2 linked regions of the Sus scrofa genome follow. The protein of the gene in region 1 interacts with the protein of each later gene in a biochemical or structural test. Links are inferred from orthologs where the notes say so. Each region holds a gene or a part of one and is shown in the gene's direction. Other genes may lie near its edges.

Evidence for each region.
Region 2: the proteins of CFH (region 1) and CRP form a complex in vitro, tested with the Homo sapiens proteins (12 studies listed by BioGRID and IntAct, with this or other methods). The link is inferred for Sus scrofa from reciprocal best matches to the Homo sapiens genes CFH and CRP.

The regions. Positions count from the first base shown.
Region 1 is NW_018085100.1:2,467,362-2,471,613, forward strand, and holds the start of CFH (complement factor H), read left to right. Parts: upstream 1-1,342; 5' UTR 1,343-1,681; coding exon 1,682-1,739; intron 1,740-4,252. UniProt on the Homo sapiens protein: Glycoprotein that plays an essential role in maintaining a well-balanced immune response by modulating complement activation.
Region 2 is NC_010446.5:90,781,311-90,785,630, forward strand, and holds CRP (C-reactive protein), read left to right. Parts: upstream 1-1,430; 5' UTR 1,431-1,631; coding exon 1,632-1,695; intron 1,696-1,939; coding exon 1,940-2,553; 3' UTR 2,554-3,741; downstream 3,742-4,320. UniProt on the Homo sapiens protein: Displays several functions associated with host defense: it promotes agglutination, bacterial capsular swelling, phagocytosis and complement fixation through its calcium-dependent binding to phosphorylcholine.

The DNA.
Region 1 (4,252 bases):
CCAGGCACTTTGGAACGTAGCCGTAAGTTCCACGTCTTCCGCCCTGCATCTTCGTGCCCTGATGCCAGCTGATCTGGCCTGAGGGTGATAGGAGTATTCCTAGAAACCATTCTTACACTTGGATGTTCACCAGTTACCAAACACTATACAAGTGTGACTGCAAAATATACCTCGCTAGCATTCAACCAAGTGTGTTCTCTCCCAGACTTCTTAGCTGAGTCCTCTAAAGCCTGTAGTGTCAACCAACTCAGTGGAAGTTTGATGAAGGGGAAATCAGAGTAGCAGTTGCTTAGACCATCTGCAGCTCAGCTAAAGGACCAAATGTGGCATGAAAGGGACTCAACTTCATTCCTCATCAGGAAAATTCATATTAAAACCACAGAGAATCCCTGCTTTATGCTCACCAGAAAGACTAAAGTTACAGAGACAGAAAACTTCAGTGAGCGAGCTAAGGGTGTGGACCAACTTACACACTTGCTGATGGGAGTGTCAGTATAATCCTTTGGAAAAATGTCTGGTGTAACCCGTTACACCTAAACACATTCGTCCCTCATGTCCTAATATTCCACTCCTAGGTATGTCGGAAATGAGGACGTGTTTACTGAAAACACTATAGTATAATTTTCATAGCGTCACCTCTGAACTAGAATCCACCCAGATGCCCACCGACAGGCACACAGATAAATACATGTGGTATATTCAAATAAGTGACTATCATACAGCAAGGAGTTAATAATCTCTAGCAACATCCAACAGTGTGGCTAAATAATCTAAACATAGTTTTAGTGGAGGCTTCAAGAACAAATGAATAAATATCTTATTATCTGATGTACACAAAGTACAAACCTGAGCACATCTATTCCCTGTGGTCAGCTGTGTGGGAGGGGGAGAGGCGGGGGGGTGACTGAAAGGGGGTCTGGGGCTTTCCTGAGAGAGTGCTGTTCTTGGCCTTGATGCTTTTACCATGTGTGTCTTCCCTTAGAGTCTTTTTATGCATACTGCATTTCAATACAAAGTTTAGAAAACCCAGCATTTCAATTTCTTGATTTTTGAATGACTAAACTCATTCATGCCTAAGGAGACTGAGCCTATTGCTTCACACATTTTTATCACAATCCTCTAAAGATTAATTTCATGAACTTTCAGGAAAAGCCGGCCCCCAAAGCAGCCAGCACTACATTCTTGGCAAAGTTTTTTCCTGTTGCCTGGGTCTTGATTGTGAAAGTGTTGCCTAACCTCAGGTTCTGTAAATGATTTTTAAAAGAGCTTTTATTTACTTTTTAAAAATCTTCTGAGGTTTACGCACAAAAGATCTGCGTGGGGGTTGAATAACTGGAGATCCAGCACATTCCAAGCACCTGCACACTTCCGACGAAGACCACGCCTGGGTTTATGAAAACAAATCCAGGGCAGGTCACAGCATTAACTTTCAGTGGGAGTGAAGGAAGAATAGGTTCAAACACTGGCCCTGCTGGGGCTTGCCGCTGATTTTTTTTTTTTCCCCCACTCTGCAGAAGTTGCTGATGGGCGGGGCATCTAGCAGTCCCTTTAATTCCAGAGCTGCGTTTCAGTTTCCTTTTGCAGCAAATAGTTTCCTGCGCTTTTCACAGTTTTGAGCAGAGCAGAACCTGACACAGTGTTGAACACTCAACTCCTAGATGTACCCTGAACGGTCCCCAAAATGAGATGTCCAGCAAAGTTTGTGTGGCTAATATTGTGGACTGTTTGTGTTGCAGAAGGTAAGAGTGAAAATAGAGAAGACTTTTTTTTTCTATATTGCTGACATTTGCTAGCGTGGGTTTTTGGTGATAAAAATTTGGTCTAGAAAATGTGATCCAGTTACTGTTCTGCAGCTTAGTGTGTGAGAGGCTTTTGACACTGTTCAGTTTAAAAAAAGATAAGCAGCTTATTCGAATGGCATATCTGATTACTCATAATTTTAATGTGAAATTTCAGAAAATGTTTTAATAAATATTTTTTAAAACTGTAAGATGTCAAAATCATTGCCTTTGTAATTATCGTAAAGTGTAGTTTACTCTTTTTTGCTTAAAATTTTCACCCGAATGCCTTGTGTAGAAGTACTGAGAACTATGTGAACATCCATAGAACCAGAAAATAAATTAGACAGTCAAAGCCTTCAAATCACAGTGACTGGAGTTGTTTCAGATAGAGATGTTAACTCTTCCTAAAGAAAGAGTTATTTATCGTTTACAACTGATATTGCCATGGCCTTAAAAGTCTTGGAGATGAGCGTCACCTGTATCATTAGAATGAAAATATATGAAATTGAAAAAATCGACTATGCAACCTTTATAAAAGTAGCTCAGTTGGGTTTTTTGCCCTATGGCTATGTATAAGCTATCCTAGAAGAACCTTTAGTAGTGACTATGCGTGTAGGCAGGAGTTTCTAATATCAGTAAGACAATTTCTGGATAATTTAGTTCTATCACCTTTTCTTAATGGATTAAATAGTTCCTTCTTGGAGGAAATTTGATTTCCTAGTTCAAGATAGGTAACTAATTGTGTAGTAAATATTTGATGGACTTTTTAAATGTTATCATTATAAATTTCCAATATTTTTCACCAAATCAATACATTTTGATTGATGACTCTTTCAAGTCAGGCTCTAATCAGTGAGGAATATTAACAAATAAAACAAAACGTCTGTCTTTGAGGGACTTTCAATCTAAAACATAAAGACGGATATATTTTTTAAGTTATATCCTTTAGTAATTTCATTTTAGGTTTTCCAAAATGTGCTCAATGCTTTTTGAAAGATAGAGCCTTTTTCAGTTATATATGACAATAAGCTCTTGCTTGATTTTTAGCATGTAAATCTTATATCCAGCCACCTTCTTAACTAGGTATACAGCCATTTCCCTGTTCATAAAACTGTTACAAATAATACTAACTGATATTACGACACAATATACCAAAGTATGATTGTACTGGCAAAGAGTTCTGGAACAATGTTAATCTTACCAATCTCAGCAGACATCCTTTTCTTTAAAGTGTTTTTGTCTTTTCTCGAATTTAGGAATGCTTTTAGTGCCTCACAACTAACATATTGTTTGCCGAGGTCTTATGTAGATTGCATTTATCATGTACAAAAGATTTCTTTTGTTTCTTGGTCATGTTTAAAACTAAGAATCCTTGCCAAGTTTAGTTACACTGTTTCAGTGATGACAAAGTCATATTTGAAATAGAGATTAAAATTGGACACCACAAAGTATAAGTGATAAAAAAATTAATAATAGCGATGTAAACGTCTCACTTACCTAATTGATTCCCGCTAATTTCACTTGCTTTTTTTTACATTTCATCAATGTATGTCTAAAGGTGACATCAGTTTTCTGCTGGTGAATTGGGCATTAGTGCTACACACATAATGGTGAGAATGGCCATAAATCTGACCACTTCCTAAAGTATAACTTTAGTATTTAAAGCAACACTTAAATGCTCATAATTTTCACAAAAATTATGAGCCTCATAGTTTTCACAAAAGCACACACAATGCACAAGCTAATAGAGAAAAAATTATATCACCTTTCACTGGATATAGAACTGCTATTTTATTCCTCATTTACCAAATATTTCTGAAACTAAGTTCGTTGAAATGCCCATCAGTTCCACCGTTGTAGCCCAACCTCACAGAAACTTTACTCAACAGAGTGGCCTTGATCATTAAAAATATCCATATATATGTCAACGTCTGCCTCTGTTTTTGTCTCCCGCGTAGAAATAAGGATGGAATACAGATAGAGGCTGAGAAATACTGAATGGAAGATGAATGCTGAAAGTGAGAAACGGAGAAAAGACAGTTGTGTACACTATCAGCGTCTTCTCTCCTCAACTAGATACTTACAGCATCTCAGCATTTCATAAATGGTCTCTGTGCTGTGCATAGTGAACATTCCTCAAAAAATACTACTTGCTACCAAAAAGGACTAGAGGTCAACATGATAGAATTTATAAGCTCAATTGCCTACTTTCCTTCCCTTTTTAAAAAGATACTAGAGACCTAGTATCTTTGAGTTTAAATACAGTAGGTCGTCTGCATTTAACATTTCTAGTTGTATAGAAATGGAACATGAGTTGCTTCTTTGTAAAAGGCACGGCTGGAGAGTCACCCCAGGCTACTAAGAATCTGGTCAGATTTACAAAGTTTAGAATAACAACCCCTTGGTTATACTACATAGTTTCTGCTTTTTGGAATATCTTGTAACCAAGCTTTTCAGGAAGACCTTTGAGA
Region 2 (4,320 bases), on another chromosome or scaffold:
GGGAGGATGTGTAAGGTTATCAGCTAGCCTTTATAATAGGAAGATCAAATTAATGTTCGAGTAGGTGGTCTAGAGCCGTTATAGCGGTTCCAGAACCAATTATCCAGGCTCCATCTATCTGCCAGCTTCAGCGTGCATCTTACCCACGGTGGTCAAAGGTGATATTCTAGCTCCTATCATCATGCCTCACACCAGGCAAAGGGAAGGGAGAAGTGGAAGGTAGAGCAGATGCCTTCACTTTAAAGGGCACAACCTGGAAATCATCCCTCTTACTTCTGTTCATATCTCACTGGCCAGAACATACTCACATTCTCATTCCCAGCTGCAAGGGAGGCTGGGAAATTCATTGGCTAGGTGACCATGTGCCCAACCACCAATGCCACTCTTACTGTAGGAGAAGTGGAGAATGGACACTGGGGAGCTAGAAGCCCCTGCTACAAAAGGTATGGTCATTCTTCTCTGATGACTTCTATTTCTCAATAAAGAAAAAGTGAATGCTGGGAGTTCCCATCGTGGCTCAGTGGAAACAAATCTGACTAGTATCTGTGAGGATGTAGGTTCAATCCCTGGCCTCACTCAGTGGGTTAAGGATCCAGTGTTTCTGTGAGCTGTGGTGTAGGTTGCAGGTGCAGCTCAGATCCCGATTTGCTGTGGCTGTGGCTGTGGCCAGTGGCTGCAGCTCTGATTTGGTCCCTAGCCTGGGAACCTCCGAGGGTGTGGCCCTCAAAAGACAAAAAAATAAAATAAAAAAAATTTTGAATGCTGAGTATAAGAATGGATGAGATTTGGGGGTAAGAAGAGAGGAGGAGAAAAATAATCATCCTGAAGGGTGATTTCAGTAGGGAACGGTACTAAGATTGCCAGGCATCATGGAGAAACTACTTGAATTTTGTGAATAAAGGAAATGGCAGGGTCAGATCATCCTGACACCTCCCTAAACCCTGACATATTGAGAAAATATGAAGACACATTGGCATATGGTATATTTGTGATCAAGCACATGTTTCACTGCACCAGAGATTTCTTAAAAATTAAATTCAATGCGCTAAGAAAAATTTGTCCTTGGCTCAGAAAATGGCATGTTTGTTTTCAGCATTTCCCAATCTGTCAACTAGAGGCCTCTGTAAAGGGTGAGCCATGATGGTCAGCTCCAGAGGCTCTTCGCTTTCTTCCAGAAAACCCAATGACCCAATGACTTGGGCTGAAGAAGGTGCTAGAGTTGCAGCTATCATGTGCAATCAGATGGCTATTCTTCTACTAAGATAAGATTTTCCATTATTTCACAGGATAGACAGCCAAAGTGGAGTCCTTGGAGAGCTTCTTCATTTCTCCTGTCACAGAGGTGACTCAGTAGTCACAGGAGTTTGTAATAAATAACCCACATCGATTTCTCTGTTCTGGAACTATGTTGCTTCCCTTCCTCCCAGAGCCCTGACACTGCGAGAAGCAGAATTGGAAGTCATTTACATAGTGGCACAGACGCTTCTACTGCCTTGGGTATAAATCCAGGCAGGATGGGGCAAGTCTTGAGAGGAGGGATCTAGGACTTCTAGTCCCTGAGCTTTCAACCAAAGGCATCTTCTCCAAGGGGGTGAATCCATATTCTGTTACCACTGGCAGCAGAGAGTGACATGGAGAAGCAGTTGTGGTGTTTCCTGGTCTTGATCAGCTTCTCCAATGCTTTTGGCCAGTCAGGTAGGGGCTACCTGGGGCTATGCCAGCGATTTGATCTGAACGATGAAGGTGAAGTCAGAGGAACATCCAGCCTAGACGAGTGTGTGTGTGTGTGTGTGTGTGTGTGTGTGTGTGTGTGTGTGTGTGTGCGCGCGCATAACTGAGGAACAATCAGTCTATTTCTCAAGCCCAAATTCTATATGTAAGGAATAGATCTTTGTGATTTGAGAAATTTCTCCTCTCTCTTCTGTTTTCCATCTCACAGACTTGCATAAGAAGGCCTTTGTGTTTCCCCAAGAGTCGGATAATTCCTACGTGTCCCTGAAAGCGCAGTTAAAGAAGCCACTCAAGGCCTTTACCGTGTGTCTCCATATCTACTCAGAACTGGCCTCAACCCGTGGGTACAGCGTTTTCTCTTATGCCACCAAAAAACAACCTAACGAGATCCTCATATTTTGGTCTAAGGGCAGAGGATATATTCTTGGAGTGCGTGGGACTGAGGTATTATTCAAGAGTCCTGAAAACACCGCAGCTCCGACACACATCTGTGCCAGCTGGGAGTCCGCCTCTGGGATTGCAGAGTTCTGGGTGGACGGGAAGCCCAAGGTGAGGAAGAGCCTGGAGAAGGGAGCCTCCGTGGAGGCAGAGGCAAGCATTATCCTGGGGCAGGAGCAGGACACATTCGCTGGGGAGTATGAGAAGAACCAGTGTTTGGTGGGGGACATTGGAGATGTGAACATGTGGGACTATGTGTTGTCACCAGAGGAGATTAGCACTGTCTATGCTGGTGGGACCTTCAGTCCTAATGTCCTTAACTGGCGGGCGCTGAGTTATGAAATGAGTGGCGAGGTGTATGTCAAGCCCCAGCTGTGGCCCTGAGGCCATGCCGCTGTGGTCCTGGAGGTGTTTCCTGACAGTTGCACTCTGTGGTTCTAGACTGGCCCCAGCCCCTGTACACACACTGCAAGCCAGCTCTGTGAACACAGGCTCTCACATCCCTGCTCTACCCTCCTCAGTGCCAGAGAGGGCATTCAAGTGTCTGGCTTGGGAGGCTGTGAACTACATTGAGAAGTTTTGGTTTTGGTTTTTGGTTTTTACAGCAGGATCAGAATTGCAGGTGTGTTTGGTTCTGTTATTGCTATTTTTTTTTTAAGTTGAAAAAATCTTAGAGACAATACCTTTCCTTCATGTAGATGAGAAAATTGGGACCCAGAAAGGAGAACTGATTTTTTTTTTTTTTAAAGTCACAAGGAGAATCTTTCTCTGAGTTGAGAAAGGTGTGCTGTCTTCTACCTAATTTCCTACCCAAGACTTCCTAGAAAGTAGGAGGGACTTGCCCTTCCATCTCAGAGTTATGACATTGGGCCAGGTCTTTGGAAATGGGAACTCCTAAAAAAGACAAAAGACAAAAAGGAAAAAAAAAAAAAAGAAATGGGAAACCTAGCAATACTGTACATTCTTCCCATTTCTCAAAGTACCCCAGAAAGGCAATCAGAATGGCCCTAGTAGAGAAGACCTATCTATTTCCCTAGACAAAGTGGAGCATTTAGATGTAGCTACCGTAATTATTAGTGCCAAGGTCTTACAGAGCCATGTTTTTTGTTTGCTCACAGTGATTTCTTAATTTTGTGGTTCTTTCGGGAAACTCTTCTCAAACTCCACCTTTTCCCCAACATACCCAGGCCACAGAGTGGCTGTGACCCACGCTATCCTAATAGAGTAGCCCCAATCCTATTTGGAGATTGGGGGGGATGATTGTATGTTCCTGGAAGGACCAATTTTAGTCTTCCCAGGATTGTTTTATGAACTTTGGGAGTGAGACATCTTCCTGCTGGAATTCCAAGCTATGAGGGTATTAGCCTGAGATCTCCAAAAGCCATCTCATTTAAACATGGAGAAGGAATATGAGGAAAGAAGCCAAGCTGGGACCAGCAGAGCCAAAGGACTGACAGCACAGACAGGCAGCTTTGACTGCCCCATTTGAATTTCTGAGTCACCCTTGCCCAGAACCAGATCTGTATCTGGACGTCCCAACTTACTGAACTAATAAAGCCCTCGTTTACATTAGTGAGTTTCAGCTGTTCTTTAATGGTTGCATTTGAAGCGGTGACCAACTTTTCTAATGATCCTCTGAAACCAAGTCCCTGTGAGTTCAGACCTGCTGTTACCTGTCCTGCAATAACATACCTATTGGCACTCTAACCTCTCCTAGAATCTCCTATAGGGATTCTCTCTGATGAGCATAGCTTCTCTTTTGTGATAGCTGATCATTGATGTGAGGTCAAATGTGGGGGTTTAAAAAGCTCACTCTAGGGAGTAAGAGGTACACATTATTATGTTCAAAATAAGCTGCAAGGATATATTGTACAACATGGGGAGTATAGCCAATATTTTATAACTGTAAATGGAGTATAATCTTAGGAATGTGTCTCACTACATTGTACACCTGTAAATTTTATAATATTGTACAGCAACTATACTTGAATTTAAAAAAAAAATCTCTCATTCAATCACTATTCTAGTTTGAGGAACAAAGACTAAAGATCATTGAGATCCAAGAATTCGCTAATTCCCGTCGTGGCGCAGTGGTTAACGAATCCAACTAGGAACCATGAGGTTTTGGGTTCGATCCCTGGCCTTGCTCAG